4 linked regions of the Neodiprion lecontei genome follow. The protein of the gene in region 1 purifies or fractionates together with the protein of each later gene. This does not show direct contact. Links are inferred from orthologs where the notes say so. Each region holds a gene or a part of one and is shown in the gene's direction. Other genes may lie near its edges. The genes, in order: replication protein A 70 kDa DNA-binding subunit, DNA polymerase alpha catalytic subunit, protein phosphatase 1 regulatory subunit 12A and DNA topoisomerase 3-alpha.

Region 1 (6,974 bases):
TTCCTTCTTTGGTAATTGTTCCGAGCTTAACAGCCAAAGGGTGGCCCGTGGTGCGATAGTGTTCAATGGCATGATCATTCCCACCAGTTCCGTCATAAAACTTCCGCCCGCAGAGTATTGACCCATCGGTTAAATTGAGCCATAGGTTCGTGGTCAAATCACAGTTCTCACATTTCCAGCCGCTTGGAGGAATCTTCTTTCCATTGCCCAACTGTTTTAAATTTGCGGCATGCCTGGATAATGAAAAAATAACCTGGTTTAGCCTTGGTAATAATAATTCAGTACATGTAAAGCCAACATTATCAATTTCGTCAGTTTTGTCTATTACTTTGAAACTATTCTCGCTTCTCCGTCCCAAGTTCCAGCTAAGGCTTCTGTTTCTGCTAACTTTGAGGCAGACTCTGCTTCCAATAGAGATTTTATGGCAGTTTTAACCTGGCGAATAATTTAACGATTGATTTAAATTCTTCACTGGATACTGCTTATTTGCGCACTACTTAATATAGCACATACTTGTTCAGGCAAATCATCCTTAGGATACGGTATTGTTACATAATTGGGCAATATAACAATCTCGTAGGATTCGTCATACTCGTATTTTTTAGTATCCGGTGTGAATCCTCCCACAACCCCGATCGCTAAACGGGTTATTTTTTTCTCAGGACCATCCCCTTGCTGCTCGGCAGGTATCTGTAATACGTTATAGATAAATAGTTGGAAAAATAAGTGCCATAAATGTCAGTATCCAGAAGTATATTTTTAATTGTTGTTTCACCATCTGTTTCCACTGCATTCAACGACTCTCGTAAACATATTTAGAGAAAGACTTATACGTTATGCCTTGAGAACTTAGCCGTAACATTTTGGAATAAATTTTGCAGAATGTAACTGACGTATGGTAAGCTATAATTGAAAACAAGTAAAGGAAGCATACTTACTTCTTTTTTTGATCTCTTCAAGCGAAGAAATACAGGGTTATTGGTCCTTTGATAGTAAGCATCGACATGATCCTGACCTAGTCCCAAATATGTTGTAAGATTGAGGTAGAGTCCATTCGGCGATTCCTTGTATAGAATTTATACGATTAGACTTGATACGGAAAAATGAGAGGTACAGTGCGACAGAATAAAATATGAAACTCACTGGTGTGTCAAACGAGAAAACACATTCATCTTTATATATTTTGTCTCCCCGCTGGGGTATTTTTATTTTATTTAAGTACTGTACTAGCTCGCCCATCGTGTCAAACAGTAGATCTAATTTAATATACGTGGGAAATTAATATCAGGAGGATTCTTTACGCACTAGACAGTCCGTAGTTTCATTCTTTTTGTAAATATGATGAATATAACCAACAAATATCTAGCCGGCCACAATTGATGTCAATGATTTGCGTTAATCAAAGGGAAACCGATGTGGAACCGGAAATCAACAGTCAAGCGGCGTTTTACTGCAACACATAGTTATACCTATGTATAGTTTCAAGAGATTGTCCCGGTATGTAATAGCGAATGCGAAACCGTTGGCTATGCATTCCCAAAATTAGCTGGCAGGGCTAAAAACTTCGTATGATAGAGATACAGCTACCGCCGAATTCGGCAGTGCAAAAGAAATAAGAGATTGTTGACAGCACTGGGAGCTAACACCCGTATTCATAGTCCCTCCTTATCTCAAGGATAAAGAACGCCTTGATGAAGGCTTCCTTGAATCTCGAGGCGTCCTCGTTTCATAGTCACAACTTGGCTCTCCCTTCCAGAAGGAAGACATATTTAGGGATATGTGATTGCTTATAGTGGTAAAACTGCTGATGAGAGTGTATAACCTCAAAGAAGTTAACCTGTAAACTGGCTGTGATCGCGTCATACGGGTCATAAGTGCACAGACGCCAAGCGCAAGCGCAAGCGTTGGCGACATGAAACGAAACAGCCAATCGCAGTGCCGAAGGTTTCCTCAAGGAAGCTCGAGATCTGCCTTGAAAGAAGGAGGCCAATAAGATTCCTTATTCTGTCGAGGAAGGTCTATGAAATGTGAAATGAGGAACAAGGAATCCTTGTTATTTCATTGTTTGGCGCGAAACAACTTGTCCGGTGTCTTCGAGGCACGCTTCACCAACCTCACTTCCTTTACGTTTTAATGACACTGAGCAAGTGAATCTCCTACTCCGCATCACGGTTCTTCAAACTTTCAGAGATATTTTTTGAGAATTGAACAGGTGACCGCTTCTCGTTACTCCGGAAAAATGTACGAACTTAGTGAAGGAGCCTTGGACGTAAGTTTCCTGACGTATCTTATTAACATATTCGTGTAATAATCGTTCATGTCAATGAATTTTTTCCCACAGCAAATCATGAACGGTGTCGAGGTCGAAAAGCCGATTTTACAGATATTGGTGAGCAGATCCATTCAATATTATACGTGATTCATACACTGGATACCCATAAAACAGAATTTCATTGTTAACCATCTGCCAACAGTCACGCTGAAGCATCAATCCACCAATACTCCAATCTAATAACGATCGAACAGTCGCTTAATCCACATACTTCAATTCATTCTAATACAATTGAGATTGAATTATTCTTTTAACTATTATGATACATCCTTGAAGTAAAGCGCCTTCGTTGTCTCAGATGTTTAATATTTTGTTTTCAAACTTCCCCTGTTCTATCTACTATTTCTGGAAATTCTTGTTTCGTCATAATACTTTTCTTTCAGGGACACAAAAAGCTGCAATCGGCGAGCACTCAGGAGCGCTATCGCCTCCTAGTTTCAGATGGTAAAAGAATTAACTCATACGCGATGTTGGCTACACAGCTAAACTCGCTGATTACCAACGACCAACTGACAGAGTTTTCCGTGTGCCAAGTTAATCGATACGCAATTAGTATGATCAACAATTCAGGAACACAGAAGTAAGTTCACAGGAAAACAAGTGTTACATGTTCCATATCACTATTTTTTTTTATTAGAATCGTCGGACATATTTTTTCATGGATTGCTGATGTTTTTTCTGAATTTCGGTTTACTATTTGATCAATCAGGAGAGTGATGGTCATACTCAACATTGACGTTAAGATTCCGGGCACTGAAGTGGGCTGCAAAATAGGAAATCCTACCCAGCAAGACGGCAATGTACAGAACGGAGATTCTACTCCTGCTGCCCGATCAGCAGCGCCTGTACCAAAAACTAATAATTCCTCAAATTCTGGTAAACCGTGAAAAACACTTGTGTTATTGCATGAATCAGAATCGTCGGTATTATCCAATCTTAATTAAATACTATTTTGATACTGTTAAACACTAAAAGATTCATATTTACTTATTTCTTTTTAATTAACCTTTTTATTCTTATGTTATGCTATGGCGAAACACTATTTTTTTTTTTTTTTTTTTTTAACTGAATTTGTGGCAAAATTATATATAAATCTCACTTTTAATAGTTCGTCCTGGAAGACAGCAGCAATCTTATCTTAATGATTCAGTATCCTCTGGTGCTGGTATCTCAACTACACCGATAGAAGCCCTGAGTCCTTATCAAAACAGGTAATCATGTCATTTAGCAGTTTTAGTTTTTGTGGTGTAAAAAATATGCAACTACAAATTGAAAGTTGTGTATTTACTTAACAGGTGGGTAATCAGAGCTAGAGTAGCCAATAAGTCAGCTATAAAAACGTGGAGCAATGCACGTGGCGAAGGTTCCCTCTTTTCTATGGATTTAGTCGATGAGACTGGCGAGATTCGCTGCACTGCATTCAGAGATCAATGTGACAAATTTTACAACATGATCGAGGTATGTTCAGATTAACTCATTTTCATGCAATCATTTGTGACTACTTGTGACTACGCATTAACTTGTGACTAATATCAGTTGTTATAGTAACGTAATATATTGTTAAAATTATTCAAATTTTTTTTATCAAGTTTTTCTTTCTTACTAGTTTGGAAAAATTTACTATATTTCACGTTGTCAACTGAAGCCAGCGAACAAGCAATTCAGTAATTTGAAAAATGAATACGAGATGACAATGACATCCGAAACAGAGGTTGTTCCTTGTCACGACGATTCTGACGAGATCCCAACAGTGAAGTACGATTTTGCACCAATCAGTGAAATTGATGGAAAGGAGCCGAATGCAATAATTGGTATGTTTTTGTTATTCCCATTCACGGGCCTGTGTTAAGAAATGAGATATCAAATATTTTTTTACTCGTACTGGTATATTCTTTTTTCTAGATGTGCTTGGCGTTTGCAAATCTTGTAGTGATATCACAACTGTAGTTGCGAGGACTACAAGAAAAGAGCTTAAGAAGAGGGATGTCAATCTTGTTGACGAAAGCAATACAATGGTACCAGAAGAATTTCTAGCATATCACCACAAGTTCAACATACCTAGTAAAACTGACTAATTGTCACATCTTATTCAATTCAGGTTACTCTCACATTATGGGGAACCCAGGCGGACGAGTTTGATGGATCTTCTAATCCTGTTGTTGCCGTGAAAGGTGCACGTCTTGCCGAATTTAATGGTGGAAAATCTCTGTCTACCCTTAATTCGTCAGTGCTCCAGATTGACCCAGACATTCCCGAAGCTCATAGGTACAAACTGTCAATCTTCCGATTCTCATAGCAACAGATTTGCACACAATGAGACAGTTTGACTGAATATCATTGTTACTTATTAGGCTCCGTGGTTGGTACAACACAACTGGATGCACAGAGAATGTGCATACCATTTCTAAGGGGCTGGGCGGTGGCAGTGGGGGAATGAATGGTCCGTGGTTGACGTTCAAGGAGGCTAAAGACATGCAGCTGGGCTGCAGAGAAACTCCCGACTACTTCATCGTCAAGGCAACTATCAATATGATAAGGACTGAAAACTCTCTTTACAAAGCGTGCCCGACCGATGACTGTAAAAAAAAAGTAAGTAACTCGTGATACTGATGAAGCGCGCACATCTGGAAAAATTGCCCTTAAAAATGTCACACTTTGAAACAAATGCCTCAGTGAAAGAATAATGTACCCAAATGTAGCCCAACAATAATTTTTTTTTTCCATACAACAGCTTATCGATCAGTCCAATGAAATGTATCGTTGTGAAAAGTGTAACAGGAACTATCCAAACTTCAAATATCGACTGCTGGCCAGTGTGAGTATCAAATACAATATTAGTGTGTCAATTTCTGAGAGTGCAGTCTTGTGACTCAATCATGAATATTCTTGTCTCAGATCAATCTCGCAGACTGGACAGACAACCAATGGGTAACCGCGTTCAATGAGGAGGCTGAAAAGATTTTGGGAATGACGGCACAAGAAATTGGTGAATTGAAGGATAATGATGATGAAGCGTTTCTTGAAAAGTTCGGTGAATCTGCTTTCAAAACTTTCCTTCTCAAATTGAGAGTAAAAATGGAAAACTATAGCGTAAGTCATTCAGCTTCCATTCAAATTTGTAGGTTACTTTTTCAGGATATCAAATATAATTTTTATCCAGTTCTAAATTGGAACAACTGTTTTTCAACACCTAAGCCTAAATGCCATTTGTTTTTACAGGATGAGAACAGATTGAAGTCCACCGTAGTGAATGTGACCCCGCTGGATATTAAAAGCTACAACAATCATCTGATCGCGCAAATTAAAGAACTTTCCAACATGGGCAAGGCATAAATTTTTAGCCCAAGTTTCGATTACTTAAATGTTGAAACGTTATTGTAAGGTATTATTATTATTATTATTGTTGTTATTATTGTTATTTTCACTATACCGAGCTTGTAACAGCGGTTTGTACAATTTATGCAATGCTGATTCGGTTTAATGTTATCAATATATTAAGTTAATTTATATAAGTGTCCCATGAATATTGCTACTCTAATGAATATTTTTAATTGATCACCAATATTCCACGATCTTTGCTCTATGTGCTCGAATATATTGTACCATTTATAAATACGGTATTGTTCCGAATATACCCCGAGGTTTTTTTTTTTTTTTTGTTAGCATCCGCCAAGATCGTCCTCGTCTTATATGTAGTTAACTAAGAAAAACTCCCTCAAATACTGTCTTAGAATTGGGGGTTGGCTTGTACTCTGAACAATACGGTACATATATTTACTCGTATACTTATTAAAATAAACTTCGAATTTTGCTGTAAATTTGGTCGTATTTTAACTCGAGATACGTGAACTGAAAATCGGCAGCTATGAAGAATGTTGGCAGTTATGCTGAGGTCTGATTAGCCTGGAAATTTTCGTAGGCTCACGATCAATGATAATAACTCTAACACCCCTAATACATTTATGAGAAAGCAAGTTCTGGAACTGGTAATATTTCGTATCAAGGTCGTTTTTTTTAAATTTATGGGCATATTACTAAATAAGAAAACTTGAGAAAAATTATTTTAGAATGCTTTATAAATAAAAAATTGAAGTTAAAGGAAAATGAAAGAAGTGAATTAAACATTTTTGTCAGACAGATATTTTGCTACAAAACTGATCATATCTGATAATCTTAATTCAGCAAGTCACTTACTACATTCTGATAAGCTTATGTTTCTGACTATAAATTGACAAAGTTATTTTTCTATATCTTGATAGTGTACTGATATGACACGTGTTGCTTGGAATATCTCGTATAATATAACTTAGTATAGTGTCAGTCGACATTGACAAAACAATCATGAAGAGTTCTAAAAAATTGAAACTAACTCTGCCAGATGAAAAACGTGCAACTGAATTTCCTAACACAGATCCCATTAAAATAACAGGGTTTCGAATTAACGAACACACAATTGATGGAACTGAGAAAAGGTCAGTTATTTTGAATAATAATGAAAAGCTTGTATTACTTTATACATTGTACTTACGTTTTTACACATTAATTTTCAGCCAAACAACAGAGTTAACGAAACTCACAAAATACCGACCAATTGCATATTACAAGTTGGTAAGTATTTTATTTACTATGACTTGGTTGTTCC
Region 2 (4,872 bases), about 14 Mb from region 1:
TATTTTCTCTAATATACCCGGAAATGAACACGGGTAACTAACAAAATAATGAAGTAGATATAAATATTGCGAGAGGTATTGCACTAGGTCTTGAATTAATTCAAGCAATATGTTTATTCTCACTTTCAGACGCTACCGATTTAGCAGTTTTTTGCTCTTCGGTTATACATCCGGATTTTTCCTTCAGAATTGCTGACATTTTTCACACAGTTAATTAAAATTTGATTTTTCATTGGGCTCGCTAGATGATGCTTATGATGCTTAGGATGTTTTACGCATCCTCTCGATGCATTGTTGGGAAGAACCGAAGAATCGTATTGTTATGATGCTTTCTGAATTTCTCTGGTAAGCTGAGCAATGATTGGCTGTTGCAAGATTCTCTTACGCGGCAGCACTGGCAGCACTGCTGGCTTATCCTGTACAAGGTCCCTAGATTAGACAGGTCAAGACACGTGTGTTCCAGTTTTTCTCACTATAACGTGGGCAAAAATGTTCTATGCGCGTTCGCCCAAAAAATATCAAATTTACATTACCGCATTAACCAGTTTTGACCAATCTTGCTCAATTTTTTGAGGTTCAGCATTAACGAGTTGCGCCCTTCGTGTCCTGACGTTCACGAAATAAATAGAAGCACGTATATATTTTGAGGTTAATCATTGTGACAGGTCAGGAATCAGAACCACACCGGGTGCTTTCCATTTAGAGCACAGTGTGACACAGTGTACAAATTTCTATTGTAAGCGGCCAACCCGGGCAAAGAAATAGACCAGAAATGTTTACACCGTGTCATATTGTGCTCTAAATGGAAACCATCTATTGTCATACGAAACTTTTGGCGCATTCTCACTAATTATTTTGACCATGCGTGTCTTGACCTGTCTAATCTAGGGACCTTGATCCTGTACATATAGGCCGTGTTCGAAAATTGACTGACAGTACTGTCGGCAATCTTTTATCTCTTTTGCCCTTCCAAGTTCGTGAATAGCTCTGATTCTGTCCTAGGGAATTTTCAGTACTGTCAGTCAATTTACGAACACGGCCATAGGGTGCTATTTCGGCCGTGTTCGAAAATTGACTGACAGTACTGTCAGCCATCTTTCACCTATTTTGCGCTGCCGAGTTCATGAACAGCTCTGTCTCTGTCCTAGGGAATTTTTAGTACTGGCAGTCAATTTACGAACACGGCCTTCATGAGCAGTAAAAAGCAGCAGTGGTTTAGTAACTTAGTAGTTTTCACTAGCATCAGTCTGGTAATTTTACGCAGCAGCAGCGCTGCTCATGAAATAGGTCGACTGTTCTTGTGATCTTGTGGCTTGTCGCTCGAAAAACTAAACTGCGAGCAGCAGAAACTTGCGCCGGAAGTGATAGGGGAAAACTGCTGCTGCTGCTGCCTTTTACTGCTCATGAAATAGCACCCATATACGTTGGGTGCTTTCCATTTACTGACTCAAGTCGACTTGTGTCGCTATTTCTGGTGTATTCCTTTGCCCAGATTGGCCGGTTACACCAGAAATAGCGACACAAGTCGATTTGAGTCAGTAAATGGAAGGCACCCATACATGTTCTAACCAGAGAGAAACCTTTATAAGGTCCTCCGTCAACGACTTGAATTCTCTAGCTAAATTTGTTTTAGTAATAACGACTAAACCATTGACTATCAGACATGGGAATACATCATCAAACATCAACAAACGACCAACAAAGAATTAAAAAGAAATCAATTTATTTGGGTGTCAATGACGGCCTAAGTATAGGTATAATATTGACCTGTTTTCTACCTGCTTCTCTTATTAGTTTTAACTTGACCCGTCAGGAGGCAGATCTTTCTTTTTCCATCTTAACAGTGTAATGAGTGTTGGTAGTATTCTTACCATCTTTTTCAGTGGTTGGCACCTTGCGGCAATTTTCCCGCTAATTTTACTGTAGTAGGTTGTGAAATTTTGTTTACACGTCGGTGCAGTTGCTCGGCTCTTAGCAGCCACGTGTTTTATAAATCATATTTTCTGCTTCCCTCCTGATCTGTGGTGTAGATTATGATTTTATGATCTTCTTATTCGCTCCATAGAACGCAGAGTGTTCCGTTGTGGAGTGTTAGTGTTAGCTTTATGACGTTTGGATTGTTCGTTTGTTTCGCTCTTACATCAGCATGGATGAACCTGCATGTAAGTCTTTCTAATTTAACGTGCATTTTTCAATGTCAAGTCGTATTCCCTCGACAAATAATCCATTTTAAAATTATTGGCTTGACGAAGATCTATAGATATCCTAAAACCTTATTATTGTCAATCTCGATATCGTCACATATCCATTGCATTCTTTGTCACGATTAATGTCACCGGTGTCACCTGTTATAACTCGCCCCATACTAGCTTAGAGACCACTGCGATACCATCGGATTATGTGAGATTGAAACTCGTAACGTCAATGTGACCATGCGATTTTGATAATTGCTATTTCGCAATTTGAGGATGGTCTGAAATCCGGTAAACTGTAATGGAGCATCAATTCACTCATGTTTTGCCCATTCAAGTCCTTCAAAGATATACCGAAGCTATAGAATGGTAATTTTTCTTTCGACATTATTTGGTTATCCAAATGTTACAAATTTCGGTCTCATATGCAAGTTATGGTCAGCTTTTGTGAAGATCTGCAGTTTGATAACTGTGGAAATACGTAACCTTATGTACATAGTAAAGGGGATGCATTACTGATCCTACAAACTTTTTCTAAAAATACAATATTTTGACCACTAATAAATTTCTAACGAAATGAGTTTTTACCATGCTGTTTGAATCGACTGTATTCCGTATCTTGTATCTACCAATTATTAGTCCTACTAATATCGAGATTTTTTTTTCATAACCTGCATTATACAACTGCTCTACTAAATACAAATTTCAAAATTATTATAATAGCATAAGGGCACGAGGTCGAAGTTAGTCATGTTATCGTGATGAAACATTGAGACAAAAGTTAATATTTTACTATTTCAAAATAACTTCTAAAGGAATTAAGTTTCCAAAATATGAAAAAGTTTTGCTTCAATGCGGCTTATGAATTCCTGGGAAATGCTCAGGTTATGAAATAATAGTTTTTCTTTTAAATGCTTCGTTAAGTTAGGAATTTAATCCCATGATGAAAAATGATTGTACAGAACAATTGATTTGTCATCACAGACCAAGTATCGGGTAATACGATTTTAAAAAAACTATTGGCCATAGAACGACAAAAGAAACTCCAATTCATTAAAATGTAATCCACTTTCGCTGGTTTACAAATTGTTGAACCAATTATTTCACAAACAAATACTCAAGCTGTGTTACTCCAAGTTGCAACTCGAAACACCACCTTGGATTAATTATTTTCAAGGTTTCTGTGATACTTTAAATTTTACTTAAAGGAATGCCGGACACATGTAACGTATTTGCATTGCTGAAGAACGTTAACAATTATTTTCGTTTTTTTCAGTAGGGTAGATGCGCCGATAGTTGGTCATCTTTGCATACCGTAATTTTCAACACACAATTTATGTATTGGGGGCACAAATTAATTCGGTCCGTTCTCAAAAGATGGATCTATAAACGTGGCTCTAAAAACATTCAATTTTTAAGTAGTAACAGCTGATTGCCCTGGTTTTAGACAAATTGGACACCTGCCGATAACATCCAGTTTGTATTGTTGTGAGTTTCATATAAAACGTTTTTTGTTACGCTGTTGAAAATGTCACTTTTTTTGATAACTGAACACCATTTGTGGGAAGTTTTAATTTTTTGTTTTAATTGGAAAAAAAGTTCAGCTAAAGCTCATCGTATGCTTGTGAAAGTTTACGGTGACAATGCTCCAACTGACAAGTCACGTAGAGAATGGTTTTGGCGCTTCAAAAGTGGTGATTTCAGCGTTGAAGATAGACCTCGCTCGGGACAGCTGAAATTCGTAGACGATGAATTACAGGCATTACTCAATGAAGATCCGAGTCAAACGCAAAACGAGACTATAATTACTTCGTTTGAACCGTGCATTACGAGAAAAACGACCGGAATATAAGGAAAGACATGATAAAGTTTTTTGCATGACAACGCTCGGCCTCATGTCGCAAAAGTTGTCAAAAAATATTTAGAAACGAACAAATGGGATTTCTTACCGCACGCGCCACATTCTCCGGACATTACTCCTTCTGACTACGGACTGTTTCGACGGATGCAACACGATTTGGCAGGTCACCGCTTCACTTGTTTCGAAGAAATCGAAAATTGGCTTCAAAATTGGGATTGCCGCAAAAGACGAGAAGTTTTTCTTACACGGGATTCCGAAATTGCCTGAGAGGTGGGGAAAAGTTGTAAGCAGTGATGGACAATATTTTGATTAATTTGTTAATTCATTATCTTTTGAAATAAATGCATTTTTTGAGCGAAAAAAACGGACCGAAATAATTTGTTCCTCCAATATAACTATACAATATGAATTTAAATAATGATGAATGGAATGATCAGGCGGCTTTCTTCAAGTTCAAGGCTTTCGATGTGCAATCAAACAAGTTTTTTTTTTTCCATCCGAACTACTGCGTATGACACAACCTGCTACGCAATGTTCTTCTCCCACCCTTAATGCTTAATGTATTATTTTTTGCAGTACAGATTGTTGTACAAAATATAAGTCACATCTATCTTAGCAAAGATTACAAATCACAAAAGCATACAAATTTTGTTTAAATTAAGCATAGTATCGATATTATTTTGGACTAAATTTGTAAGTGGCTGACAACTGGAGGTGGCTGGCTTACCTGTGCATCTGTCTTATGATATCCGTGAAAACAAGCTCTGAAAATAACAAAATATACGTAATTCATACAAAATTTGAAAGACAGGGTGGCCA
Region 3 (4,634 bases), on another chromosome or scaffold:
TAGCTTCAGAGCGCTATGTGAAAGGCTTCGGACCAATCAAACTCGTGGTTTGAGAAGAAAGCAGGCTGATAGTAGTCTGCTAGTTAGCTCGGAATCTGAATTGAGCAAGCCTTATGCGCTCGGATGTATCCAACGAACTACACGCGATACGTGTAAGAATGCAAACGTCGTGGGGGAACAAACGTCGGTCAAAAGCAGAGAAAAATAAAAGGAGAGTTTAAAAAAAATTATAGTAATGGACAATGTAATCGTAAATGTAAACTCACATTCCATTAAAGGGAAACGATAGTATCCGGTGTTGTAAAGTACTTAACAGGTTTCTATTTACGAACACACTACAACTCACTCCGGATCACTAATCACATAATTTCAATGACACTGTGCCGCCCGATCCACCACCCGTCTACCATTAGGTTTCTACTCGACTGAAGAGAGCAGAGACGTCCAGTGAGACGTCTACCAAAACGTCCAGCTGAAACTGAGCTCTTTAGGTGAGCTGAAGTTGGTTACTGGTGGTGTGCTGGGTTGAGTTCCCTAACCCTACACCAGAGGTGCGTAATTCAACTCGCTATCTCTCTCGCACGCACTGTATTCCATCAGTTATGTTTACACCCACGGTTTAGACCAGTGGTTCACAAAGAACGTATTTCGTAATGCTGGCATGGTCATTGGTCAACTGACATACCGACGTCAATTTCTTATTCTTTTCTATCTGGCGCCTTAAATAAACCCCGTAGTTACGGTAATGCAGGGTATGGACACTTGGTACTCCCCTCACTCGTTATTCGTAAGATCGGGACCAAAGCGATATCGCAACAATGGGGCAAAAGTATAGAGCATAACATTTTTTTCCGTGCCATTCTTGATTTGACAGAGGTCGTCACCACAAATACTGTATTACCAGCTACTTCCGTGATAATATAAAACTAGTTTTAAAACACTCGCTCGCTAAAGCTTGTTCGGGGTCGGACGCCTAGTGTAACTAGTTTTTGTGCTCGTGCGCTCGCTTACTCTTTGTCAGTGTTTTACCAGATGACATAGTTGTCGGGGAGACTGGGGCACGATGACTCCCCAAAAACTTCCGGTTTTTGCTTCACAAGCCGTGTTCGAAAATTGACTGACAGTATTGTCAGCAATCTTTCATCTCTTTTGCGCTTCCAAGTTCGTGGATAGCTCTGACTCTGTCTTAGGGAATTTTCGGTACTGTCAGTCAATTTTCGAACACGGCCTTTATGAACAGCGCTGCTGCTGCGTCAATTACTAGACAAATGTTAGTAATATCTAGTAAGTTACTAAACTGCTGCTGCTTTTTGCTGCCCATGAAATCCCAGCTTTACCGAAAGCACTTGGGGACTCGAGGAGTGTGTTCGAAAATTGACTGACAGTACTGTCAGTACTGAAAATATTATAGTCCAAGTGACCTATACTGTAGATTTTCAGTACTGACAGTACTTTCAGTCAATTTCCGAACACGCCCAATATGTGTGTAAAACCGCCGTACGGTAGGCAACTCAACTGACAGAAAAGAGTAACGAATGTTAAGCTAGACAAGTCTGCCGTGGATAGTTTGTGTTTTGACCACGAATTTGAGGTAGCGCGTGGGTTGTGCGGCCGAGTCATTCCGAGTCGGCCGAGCGATTCCGAGCAGTTCCAAGAATAGCCTAGCACGAGTTTAGAGGTGCCTCGGCGTCGGGCGACCGCTCCCTCCATCTACAGTGGACAGAAATCGTATGGGGGCTGGTAGCGAGCAAGTGAAGTGAGTGTGAGTCGAGAGTGTGGATCAAATAATGTCTCTAGAGACTCGATCAAGTTCGGCTCTTTTCAAGAGGGCCGAACAGTTAAAGCGTTGGGAAACGTCGGAAACAAATCGCGAACCACCCCACCCAAGGCAGATTGATCGTAAGATTAAATTCTCCGCGGACTGTGTGTATTTAGCAGCATGTGCAGCGGGCGACAAGGAGGAGGTGATTCGTTTGTTGCAGAAGGGGGCCGACATCAACACCGGGAACGTAGATGGATTGACAGCCCTCCACCAGGTAATCCGAACCCTGCTCGCCTCCCTTCTTTTCGCCTCCCGTCGCCGTTTCGCGATTTCGGTTCCTGCGGCACAGGAGAATCGTCTATTTAAACCCGGTCAGTCGGGATACTGACGGGTTGGTATATCGTCCCGAGAAAGACGTATGTGTGTCTAAGATGGCCGCGGTTTACTCCAGCTGTCTCCTTAATCGCAAACAACGGCGTTCCGCTTACGTGGATTTCCCTCAATGGAGCCAGATTTCATTCCTCCCTCGACCATCGTTCGTATAACTCAACGATTACCTCGTCCGCTCCGATACTGAGCCTGTTAAATTTAGGAATTCCTTCGAGTGGTCGCCACTGGCACGGTTCGCACACTGAATCCCCCTCCCCCCACCCACCCGCAATCCCTCACTTGCTGTTCACATGTGTGTCTCTCGGTTTGCTCCTGACGTGCGTCAAGTCGGCCGCTCCTCCGTCTCCTCCTCGTCTCTTTACATGCGCTTCTTCATTCCTATTCAATTTTTCGTTTCTGCCAGCTGCACACCTGTGAGGTGTATCGATTGTGCGTTCTGTCACCTGGCCAGTTCCATCGCTTATCGCTTGAAATCGGTGTTACACCTTCTCGTAGCTGACTGTCAACTCTCGTATTGCTAAACATGGCGTACCAAGCTTCTGAGACGATGACCCTTTTCCAGGGCTGCAAAAGCACCGAGTAACCTTATCTAAGTTGTCGACGATAGTTTTAGGCACCTGTTCTTGTCCCAATTCTTTGTTTACTTTGAAAACAGCACACGTCACATTGACTTTTTGACAATATCGCTGACAACAAGTTGAAAAACATTAAAATTCAAAACAACAACGATACAGTGTTTTTAGAAAAGATAATTATCATCTTATCGCTTAAGACGTAGTTCCTATAAGTAAGATAACCGAAATTCTCAACACAGCTGGTAAGCTGAGACGTAATGTGGCAATGAACGAAATTCATTCTTCGAAATTCTAAATGGAAATCATCAGAAGTTACTGATTCTTAATATCAAGTAATTTTCTCTTTGGAAGTCAGGGAAAATATCTGGATTCATTGGTAAGCGTTCATCAGACTTCCAGTATATGGGACACTAGTAATCTGCTATAATTGAATTTCTTCCGTTTTAGATTTTCAGAAAAAAACTCAAATGCATCCGGTGTTTCATCAGTTACTGTAATTTACTTCTATGCTGGGTGCTAGTATGCAACAACGTAGTTTCTTTCGTTAATAATTAGAATTTGAAATTAAATTTTCTTCAGTGTTATCCCATTTTACCCACCGAACGGTAAGCTGAATGCATTACATCGGCTTGTGCCAGTTGGCTATGGGCATGTCAAATCACTCGAATAGTAAGGAACAGAGTAGTTTATACTGTATACGTGGCTTAATGCAATATCTGATGGTATCCAGTAATTAAATTTCTACCGCAGAATATGTTCAATGTTTCTCTTCGACATTTGGTTTTATGAATTTTCTCTTATACGAAAGAAATTTTATCCCTGAAAGAACGGAAATGTAAATAAATATCAACGAACGCATGGCCAAGGATAAATTCTTCCTAATTTGATTTTCATGTTTTTCGTTATCCAGAACAGTTGAAGTGAAATTTTCTTTTTACCTTACTAATATTACACTAAACGTAAAAACTGAGAGATAAAAGACTCATGAACTTGAGCCAGGAATGAACTCGCTGACGTATGCAAAATTGGCCATTCATCATTTATCTTTATAGTTTGGATAATGTATTAGTCGACCTATTCATCGAGTCATTTGCGAGTCGACCTGAAAATAATATATGCCAACTACCGTATCTCGTAATAATGGTAACGAAACATTTGCTGGCGTGATAGAAATATTGATTGATATTCATGCATATAGATAAATTTGAGTTGGAGCAACTTATGTCCATGATATATACATGCACGATATCGTACAGACTAAGAACAGCGAATTAGTTATTCCGTCAAACTTTGTAATGGCCAGTTGAAGAACATGCCAAATAACATAATATATTAATGATATATTGTAATTCAAAGTAAAAACATGCTTGTTTCTCTAACACAATACACTATCCATTGGAGAAGATACATTACCGAAAGTGCAAACTCCTTGTAATTGTACCAGGTCTCAACCAATACCCTTGTGGGAAGTACCTGGTAAATCGAATTGATTGTGAGATGTTAAACCGAATGATATTGAAAAGAGGTTTGTTCTGCAAACATATATCTACGTCGCAATTCCCTCCAGTGGTACTCAGACAAATTTTACAATTATTTGAGCATCCAGAATCGAATAAAAGGTGACTGCGCTTATGAAAGAAAAACGTACACGGAGCTGTAAAATCCAAGATATTGCACAGCGAAACAATGATATGAGAATACACTTGTCCCAACCTTGCTAAATTTCTGCTTCCTCAAGGTTAATTATTTTGAAAATTTATTTTCCTGGTTCTAATGGGCATATCAATTCACTTTCTATTGTGTCAGTTAATGGAGCTAAATATCGTCTCAGAGGAGTTAGAAATTAGGGCTCGGTATTTGGTTTCATCAATGCAGAAAACTCAGTAATGTACGCGTACACATTTTTC
Region 4 (7,017 bases), on another chromosome or scaffold:
TCTCGGTCAAATACAGACTGTTCAATATGCAGCTGAGAGGCCTGATGGCACTGTTCCATTTGTTCCTTGGAAAGAAGAAGAATCCATTAAGGGAGAGAGTGGATTCATGTCAGTATCAGGCTGATCAATTGTTTGTTGGAACATTGCTGTTCACTATCCTCCTGTTTCTAATGCCAACAACATGGGTTTACTACTCCGTTTTCACTATTGTGAGTAATGAAACAAAAACCAATTAAATTCGAAATCAATTGAAATCACAGAAAGAATTATTAAACAAAATCTTACTCGAGTGTATCACAAGTAAATCGGGTAGATCTATTTTCTTTCCATAGCTTCGACTCGTCCTAATAGGCCTAGGTGGATTTCTCACCAGACTTAAGTTTTACTTACAAGTTCTGCCAGTCTATGCTTTTGTAAAATGGCTTATTCGTTCCCCAGTTATGAGCAGTAAGTAGAGCCGATAATAGATTATTTTGATTTGATGCATAGACGGTATTTCATGTGCAATTTCCAATGCTGTTCCAGGTACAATAAACATGAAGATATATCCCAGAAGTGGAGAAGGTCCTACCACCCTAATCGTGTCAACAGTTGTATCTCCATGGGGTGAAACTTGGAAACGTTGCATTCTAGAGACGATAAACCCTCACCTGCCGGTTGAGTGGGGTAAAATTGTGAGAAATGTGTTTTGGGGTCAGCTTTTGTACCCATTGTAAATAACCGCTCCATGTATTAAGAAACTATTAATAAATGATTGATGGTTTTTGCTATTTCTATCTCATTTCATTATTTATTATTGTTTACTGTATATTATGTAGTATACTGTAGATTATTTACAGGTTATGGGAATATTGCCAAGCAATTTCCATGCCACAAAAGAAGCACTCGTTTATTTATACTAACAGCTAGAGCGGAACTCAATTTTTCGGACATACAATCGAAGTGTAGGATTAAATGAAACTAAATACGGCAGACACTATTTGTCCATTTTTTGTTTTTCGATTTCCCTCAATCTCGCCTCTATTTCTTTTGTATCAAGATTACGTTCCCGATTAAACTTTAGGACAGCTCTTAATTGAACTTCTTCTAGACCCTCTATGTGATCATAAAGCGTTAAATCAAAGTGTCTATCGATGTCGCTTTCTTCCCTTAGAATGCCGAAATATATAAGAAACGCAGCTGTGCTCGCAATCACAACGTACATCTGGTACCAAGGTTCATCCGATATTTTTCCCGTTCTTGATTTCATAGCTATCCAAGTATCAGCCTTACTACCGGTGAATCGCAATGGCTCTTCATATTGTTCCTCATTTTTGTAATCCTTTGATTTATTTGAAACGTTGGCCAAGGTTCTCCAACCTATCGGTGTCGATAGTTTTCTGCAAGTAAAGTTAAATCCAGTTATTCTAGTATCACGAACTGATATTAATGGTTGCAGGACAATATTGCGTATTATGGTGCAATAAACGGGTAGACAAGAAGCGACCTAACCTCAAATAGAAATGGGTTTTCTTTTTATTGTATAGCTGATTAATCTAAAGAGGTTGAAAGACGAAAAAGCGAATCACAACTACAATAAAATATAGCTTACTTTAAGCAGTGTGAAAAATCTACGTTACCTTGGCGTTAGTAAATTACATTCGGAGAAAATTGTTCCAGCAATTCTGCGCAGCATAGCAGACGCCATGATTCTGGAGTTCTACAGAGTTCTACATAACCGAAAACAAATGTCAACACACACTTTCGATTTATTTTATAATTTATTTTAAGTTAATATTAATTTGAAAAAGTATGCTTTAGGTTTACGTAAATTCACTAAGCTTCGGAGTTTTTTTCACTCATGTTTTCTACTTTTCAGTATACCGCAACTGCTTAATGCATTTTGTATTACAAACAAAGATCAACCGGCTAGTTTTTGGTGAGTAGAATGTGAACAAAACACTTCTCTAATCACCGAGTATTTTTGGTTAATTCCAAACGATTGATTGCGGCAATAATCTAATCTTATCAAGTCAAAAGTATTTCGTTAACGTCTATTTCTTCTTTATTTCTTCGCTTTTACTTGTCCGCATGAAATTTACATCGAAAATTACGAAGATAAAGGTTAAGAAATATTTGTTTATAGATTTAAGAACTACATGGATTCAACTGGCCAAATTAAGTAGCAGTGATACTGTCAAAGAGCTGTACAATAGCGGTAAAAACGTCATGAAGGTGTTGAATGTTGCTGAAAAAAATGACGCAGCTAAAGGTATAGCTGGCTATCTTTCACGTGGGTCTTCGCATCGGGTAACTATTGGTTTCTATTTTGTTTTTTCATCTGTAAAATTCACAACACCACTTGCTGCCAAACTCTGAAATATCGTAACTGGTCAGATAAACAATTAACACGCCAATAGTACTAGTAAAGTCAATTATTTTCAGCGAGAAGGACTATCAGTATATAACAAGATCTACGAATTTGATACCCAGCTATGGGGCCAGCAGTGCAAAATGATAATGACGTCGGTATCTGGTCACCTGTTGAATCATGAATTTGTCGGAGGATATCGTAATTGGCAGGGATGTAATCCACTATCTCTATTTGAAGCACCTGTGGTTAAGCAGTGCGAGGAGAATTTTATGAAAATAAAAAAAACCTTAGAGAGGGAGGCTAAGGGTTGCCAGGCACTGATTATATGGACAGATTGCGATCGAGAGGGTGAAAACATAGGCTTTGAAGTTATACAAGTTTGCCAAGCTGTGAAGCCCACCATTAAGATATACCGGTAGTTATTGGCAAGGTCAAAACTGTCAATAAATGTTACTACCAGTTCGAAGTATATCTTTACTTGGCTATTTTTTTCAGAGCAAAATTTTCGGAAATAACTGCTCCATCGGTGACTCGAGCACTTCATAATTTAGGAATACCGAACAAAGCCATAAGCGATGCTGTCGACGTTAGGAGCGAATTGGACTTGAGAATAGGTAATTTAATTGTTTAATTAATCAAACGATGATATGTGGCTAGAGTTGTATTGGTTAAATATGTCAACGTTATCCCAACAGGAGCTGCATTTACACGATTTCAAACAATGAGACTTCAAAAGGTTTTTCCACAAACGCTAGCTGAGATGTTAATCAGCTATGGCAGCTGCCAGTTTCCAACCCTGGGTTTTGTAGTAGAGAGGTTTCTCGCAATTGAAAATTTCAAGTCAGAGCCATTTTGGAAAATCAAAGTCACGGACGATCGTGATGGAATATTGGTGGAATTTAGATGGGACAGAAATCGTTTGTTTGAACGCCTTCCGTGCCAGATATTTCTGGACATGTGTTTAGAATCTCCTACTGCAACTGTAGAAAAAGTTACGTGCAAACCGAAAAGCAAATGGAGACCGCTGCCATTGGACACCGTCGTTAGTACAACTGATTTATGTAAATTATTATTATATGACAACCGATACACTTCAATTGTATTAATTTTATAGGAATTAGCCAAATTGGGTTCACGCAAGTTGAAACTAAACGCAAAGGAGACAATGAAAATAGCAGAGAAACTGTACACTCAAGGTATTATCAGCTACCCTCGTACAGAAACTAACATTTTTCCCAAGGAACTCAATCTTGTGCCACTAGTCGAACATCAATCTGCAAGTCCACAGTGGGGACCGTTTGCACAACAAATACTGCAAAACGGGCCTTTCCCACGTCAAGGGAAAAAAAATGATGGAGCTCACCCTCCGATTCATCCTACGAAGTACATTGCTACTTTAGGAGGTATGTTACAAAACTTTATCAACTTTACTATTAGTCTAGACCGTAATCATGGTTTGAAAATTTCAAAAATTTTGGAAAACGATCAATTTTCCCAAAAATTTGTAAAAATTTCCGCTTGGAGTAATTTTCTGACTGTATAACAATTTTTTAAATCAAGAATCCACTTTATTACAGGCAATGAGGCTCGTGTATACGAGTTTATAGTTCGTCATTTTTTGGCCTGTATATCAAAGGATGCAGAAGGTCAAGAGACCATTGTTCACATTGATATTGCGCAGGAAAAATTTATAGCAAGTGGTCTTCATATAATTGCCAAAAATTACTTAGAAGTGTACCCGTACGAAACGTGGAATGCAAAAGAAATCCATGCATACGAAGAGGGACAAACTTTCAGACCCACTGGCATTGAAATGGTTGATGGGGAAACTTCACCTCCAAACTTGCTAACAGAAGCTGACCTAATTGCTTTAATGGATAAGCACGGAATTGGCACTGATGCAACTCACGCTGAACATATCGAGAAAATAAAATCAAGGCAATACGTGGGCCTGAAGGATCAAAAGTATTTCATTCCCGGAAAGCTCGGGATTGGATTGGTCATGGGCTACGACAGTATGGGCTTTCATATGTCCAAACCACACCTCAGAGCAGGACTCGAAAACGATTTAAAGCTGTGGGTGAAATATCAACTAGTTATGAAATAAAATATCATTATAATGAAATAAAAGAGAAATAAATAATTTCTTTCAGAATATGCGACGGTGTGAAACAGCCAGCGGATGTTTTGCAGGATCAAATATCCAGGTATAAAACAGTATTCACAGCAACGTTACGGCAGGCTGGATTAATAGACGAAGCGCTTGCACACTATCTTGACGAGCAACCAGCGCAGGTGCAGCATGCTGAAATAGCAAACCCGGATCCAGATATAATTGTATACAAGTGTCCAAAGTGCGGGAGTAATATGTTATTAAAGGATCGAAGGAACTCTCCTGGCAAATATATTGGCTGCATGGCGTTTCCGACATGTAATAATTCGATATGGTTTCCAACCACTGTTGAGAATATAGAAGTTTTGAATAACAAGTGTAACAGGGTAAGTTAAACAATTAACAAATAATCATTAAAAAACTTTGGGCCTCGGAATTTCTAGTGTGTAGTATCAAGATGGAGATTGATTAGATTGTTTCTATTTCTAGTGTCCAGGTAATATGCCATTACTTAAGTTTACCTTGCGCCAAGGTACCCTGCCGCATCTTGGAACCTCTTACACCTCTTGTATAGGAGGATGTGATACAGTGCTCAATGAGACTTTTGATATTCGAACACATAGCGTACAAAATGTGCCACAAGCTGGTAATGGTGGAGCACCGCAAACAAACTCAAATCAAAATCCTAGAGCAAATCAAACACGGCAAAACGCACAAAGGCAACCTAATGGCCAGATAAATAATTCTAGAGCAAATGACACAAGCCGTACTGATTCTGGGGTGTCTACTTGGAGCTCTGCACCTTCGACGACTTCTGTACGACATAATAAGTTTTCTAATCGGTCTAGTAATCAGAATCAACAGAATATGGAGACTGATGACACGATTCTCTGTAACTGTCATGAAAGAGCAATAGAGCTTACTGTACGTAAAGAGGGGACAAATAAAGGTAAGTTGGAAATACAGTATTACCTTAGTAACACATTTTTTGCTCTCTGTTTATTTTTTACTGAAAATAATTTCCGCAGGAAGACAATTCTACAAATGTGCCAAACCGCAAGAAAACAGCTGTGACTTCTTTCTCTGGGCTGCAGAAAATGCTCTACCCAATGATAATGCAAACAGAAATCATTCGCAACCATCTCGGAATACCAATAGCAGCTATAGTAATCAAACACAGCAGAGCCAAACTAATATGAGGTTCGATAGAGAAGCTGGCGGATCATCGTCATCTCAAGGCATTACCTGCACGTGTGGGCAACCGGCAAGAAAGTGAGTCCACCAATGGAATGACTTACTTCAAATTTTAATGCACATCCGAATTCTACCAGCACCAATTGCTCTCTGTAATATCCACAGACTTACCGTACACAAGGAAGGTCCTAACAAAGGAAGAGAATTTTATGGATGCCCTCAAGGAATAGGCACTACATGTAAATTTTTTAAATGGGCTGATGAAAATGACGATGATGGTTCATGCGATAATGGACAGAGAACACACACAGGGGGCTTTCGAGGAGGTAGAAATACACAAAATGCAAATCTTCCTAGAGCAAGAAATCCAAGTAAAAGGAAGTGCGGTCTTTGCGGACAAGAAGGTATGTTTTTGATGTATACAATTACCACACTTATTTACCAAATGGATAATTTAATTATCGATATTTCAGGTCATACCAGACGTACCTGTTCACAAAATGATGCGGGTTAAGACAATTTATTGAATCAATTTAATAATAAGAAAAATCTTCAAGACTTTGATAGTTTAATTGTAAAAATGTGATATTATGTGTAATTACCTAAGTACTTTTCGAGTGTGACGGTTTATCTTTACGAGCGTCGAGTTCTTTGCCATATAAATTAGACTCTGCTGTCGTTTGCGTCAGCTAGAAAAAAATTAACGATCAAATCTGTAACATTAGTTTCATTTTTCATAAAGAACGGTGTAATACGCTATCTTTTTTCTACTGCGTTAAAACAATTGTACGCGTATTGTTGGTGTCCCAGAGATACAACGAGCCAATAAACAGAGATAACAGTAATGAGAGTGTAATTTACTAATAGCACTAACGACATCATTTACGACTTTTTATTACAGTAGAGGGATAATTACCATGTCAAGCATTAGTTCGAACTTTAGCTTCAGAATATTATTCTCCTCTTCAAGCTTCTTCACTTCCTTTCGGAGTCGTTCATTCTCTTTGTAAGTTCCACCAACTTTGCCAGATTCTATGAAAATGAAGAAATGGAAAATGGAAAAGTATTCTGAGATTGGGCTCGACTGAATTTACCAGGAATCCACTGTCCACTGTCGAATACAGTCTCTTGGTCACCGAGTCGCAAACGTATGGGTCCAACATCAGGCCCTAATTCTTTTTCGATCCTTTTAGGGCTAAGATCCTTGTTTGCCAACGAAACGAATGCTCTTCTAGTAGGCGTTTTTTTGGGTGAAAACTTGTTTGAAAACAACGGCATGTTTCGCACACCTCGATGAAATGTCAAGAATATTGTTGGTTATGTTTGTATAAACAACCAAGAGTCCATCTTGTATCAC

The links.
Region 2: the proteins of replication protein A 70 kDa DNA-binding subunit (region 1) and DNA polymerase alpha catalytic subunit purify together in Homo sapiens (affinity purification with mass spectrometry; 3 studies listed by BioGRID and IntAct, with this or other methods). This does not show direct contact. The link is inferred for Neodiprion lecontei from reciprocal best matches to the Homo sapiens genes RPA1 and POLA1.
Region 3: the proteins of replication protein A 70 kDa DNA-binding subunit (region 1) and protein phosphatase 1 regulatory subunit 12A fractionate together in Homo sapiens (co-fractionation; 3 studies listed by BioGRID, with this or other methods). This does not show direct contact. The link is inferred for Neodiprion lecontei from reciprocal best matches to the Homo sapiens genes RPA1 and PPP1R12A.
Region 4: the proteins of replication protein A 70 kDa DNA-binding subunit (region 1) and DNA topoisomerase 3-alpha purify together in Homo sapiens (affinity purification with mass spectrometry; 4 studies listed by BioGRID and IntAct, with this or other methods). This does not show direct contact. The link is inferred for Neodiprion lecontei from reciprocal best matches to the Homo sapiens genes RPA1 and TOP3A.

What each region holds. Positions count from the first base shown.
Region 1 is NC_060264.1:2,098,277-2,105,250, forward strand, and holds replication protein A 70 kDa DNA-binding subunit, read left to right. Parts: upstream 1-1,947; 5' UTR 1,948-2,239; coding exon 2,240-2,269; intron 2,270-2,341; coding exon 2,342-2,389; intron 2,390-2,715; coding exon 2,716-2,912; intron 2,913-3,041; coding exon 3,042-3,208; intron 3,209-3,440; coding exon 3,441-3,543; intron 3,544-3,627; coding exon 3,628-3,790; intron 3,791-3,938; coding exon 3,939-4,143; intron 4,144-4,234; coding exon 4,235-4,347; intron 4,348-4,430; coding exon 4,431-4,597; intron 4,598-4,683; coding exon 4,684-4,921; intron 4,922-5,063; coding exon 5,064-5,147; intron 5,148-5,227; coding exon 5,228-5,422; intron 5,423-5,551; coding exon 5,552-5,665; 3' UTR 5,666-6,436; downstream 6,437-6,974. Other genes in the region: ubiquitin carboxyl-terminal hydrolase 5, read right to left, coding at 1-233, 329-435, 514-690, 939-1,064, 1,144-1,239; ATP-dependent translocase ABCB1-like, read left to right, coding at 6,674-6,804, 6,883-6,940. UniProt on the Homo sapiens protein: As part of the heterotrimeric replication protein A complex (RPA/RP-A), binds and stabilizes single-stranded DNA intermediates that form during DNA replication or upon DNA stress.
Region 2 is NC_060264.1:15,990,615-15,995,486, forward strand, and holds the start of DNA polymerase alpha catalytic subunit, read left to right. Parts: upstream 1-1,857; 5' UTR 1,858-2,146; coding exon 2,147-2,162; intron 2,163-4,872. UniProt on the Homo sapiens protein: Catalytic subunit of the DNA polymerase alpha complex (also known as the alpha DNA polymerase-primase complex) which plays an essential role in the initiation of DNA synthesis.
Region 3 is NC_060261.1:7,037,593-7,042,226, reverse strand, and holds the start of protein phosphatase 1 regulatory subunit 12A, read left to right. Parts: upstream 1-1,633; 5' UTR 1,634-1,787; coding exon 1,788-2,036; intron 2,037-4,634. UniProt on the Homo sapiens protein: Key regulator of protein phosphatase 1C (PPP1C). Mediates binding to myosin. As part of the PPP1C complex, involved in dephosphorylation of PLK1. Capable of inhibiting HIF1AN-dependent suppression of HIF1A activity.
Region 4 is NC_060263.1:2,644,343-2,651,359, forward strand, and holds DNA topoisomerase 3-alpha, read left to right. Parts: upstream 1-1,945; 5' UTR 1,946-2,070; coding exon 2,071-2,289; intron 2,290-2,424; coding exon 2,425-2,768; intron 2,769-2,848; coding exon 2,849-2,967; intron 2,968-3,048; coding exon 3,049-3,395; intron 3,396-3,467; coding exon 3,468-3,756; intron 3,757-3,930; coding exon 3,931-4,429; intron 4,430-4,506; coding exon 4,507-4,852; intron 4,853-4,955; coding exon 4,956-5,415; intron 5,416-5,494; coding exon 5,495-5,738; intron 5,739-5,825; coding exon 5,826-6,064; intron 6,065-6,097; exon of another isoform or gene 6,098-6,133; coding exon 6,134-6,174; 3' UTR 6,175-6,262; coding exon of another isoform or gene 6,263-6,349; 3' UTR 6,350-6,505; downstream 6,506-7,017. Other genes in the region: phosphatidylinositol N-acetylglucosaminyltransferase subunit Q, read left to right, coding at 17-209, 333-447, 520-716; uncharacterized protein LOC107225596, read right to left, coding at 977-1,379, 1,620-1,687. UniProt on the Homo sapiens protein: Releases the supercoiling and torsional tension of DNA introduced during the DNA replication and transcription by transiently cleaving and rejoining one strand of the DNA duplex.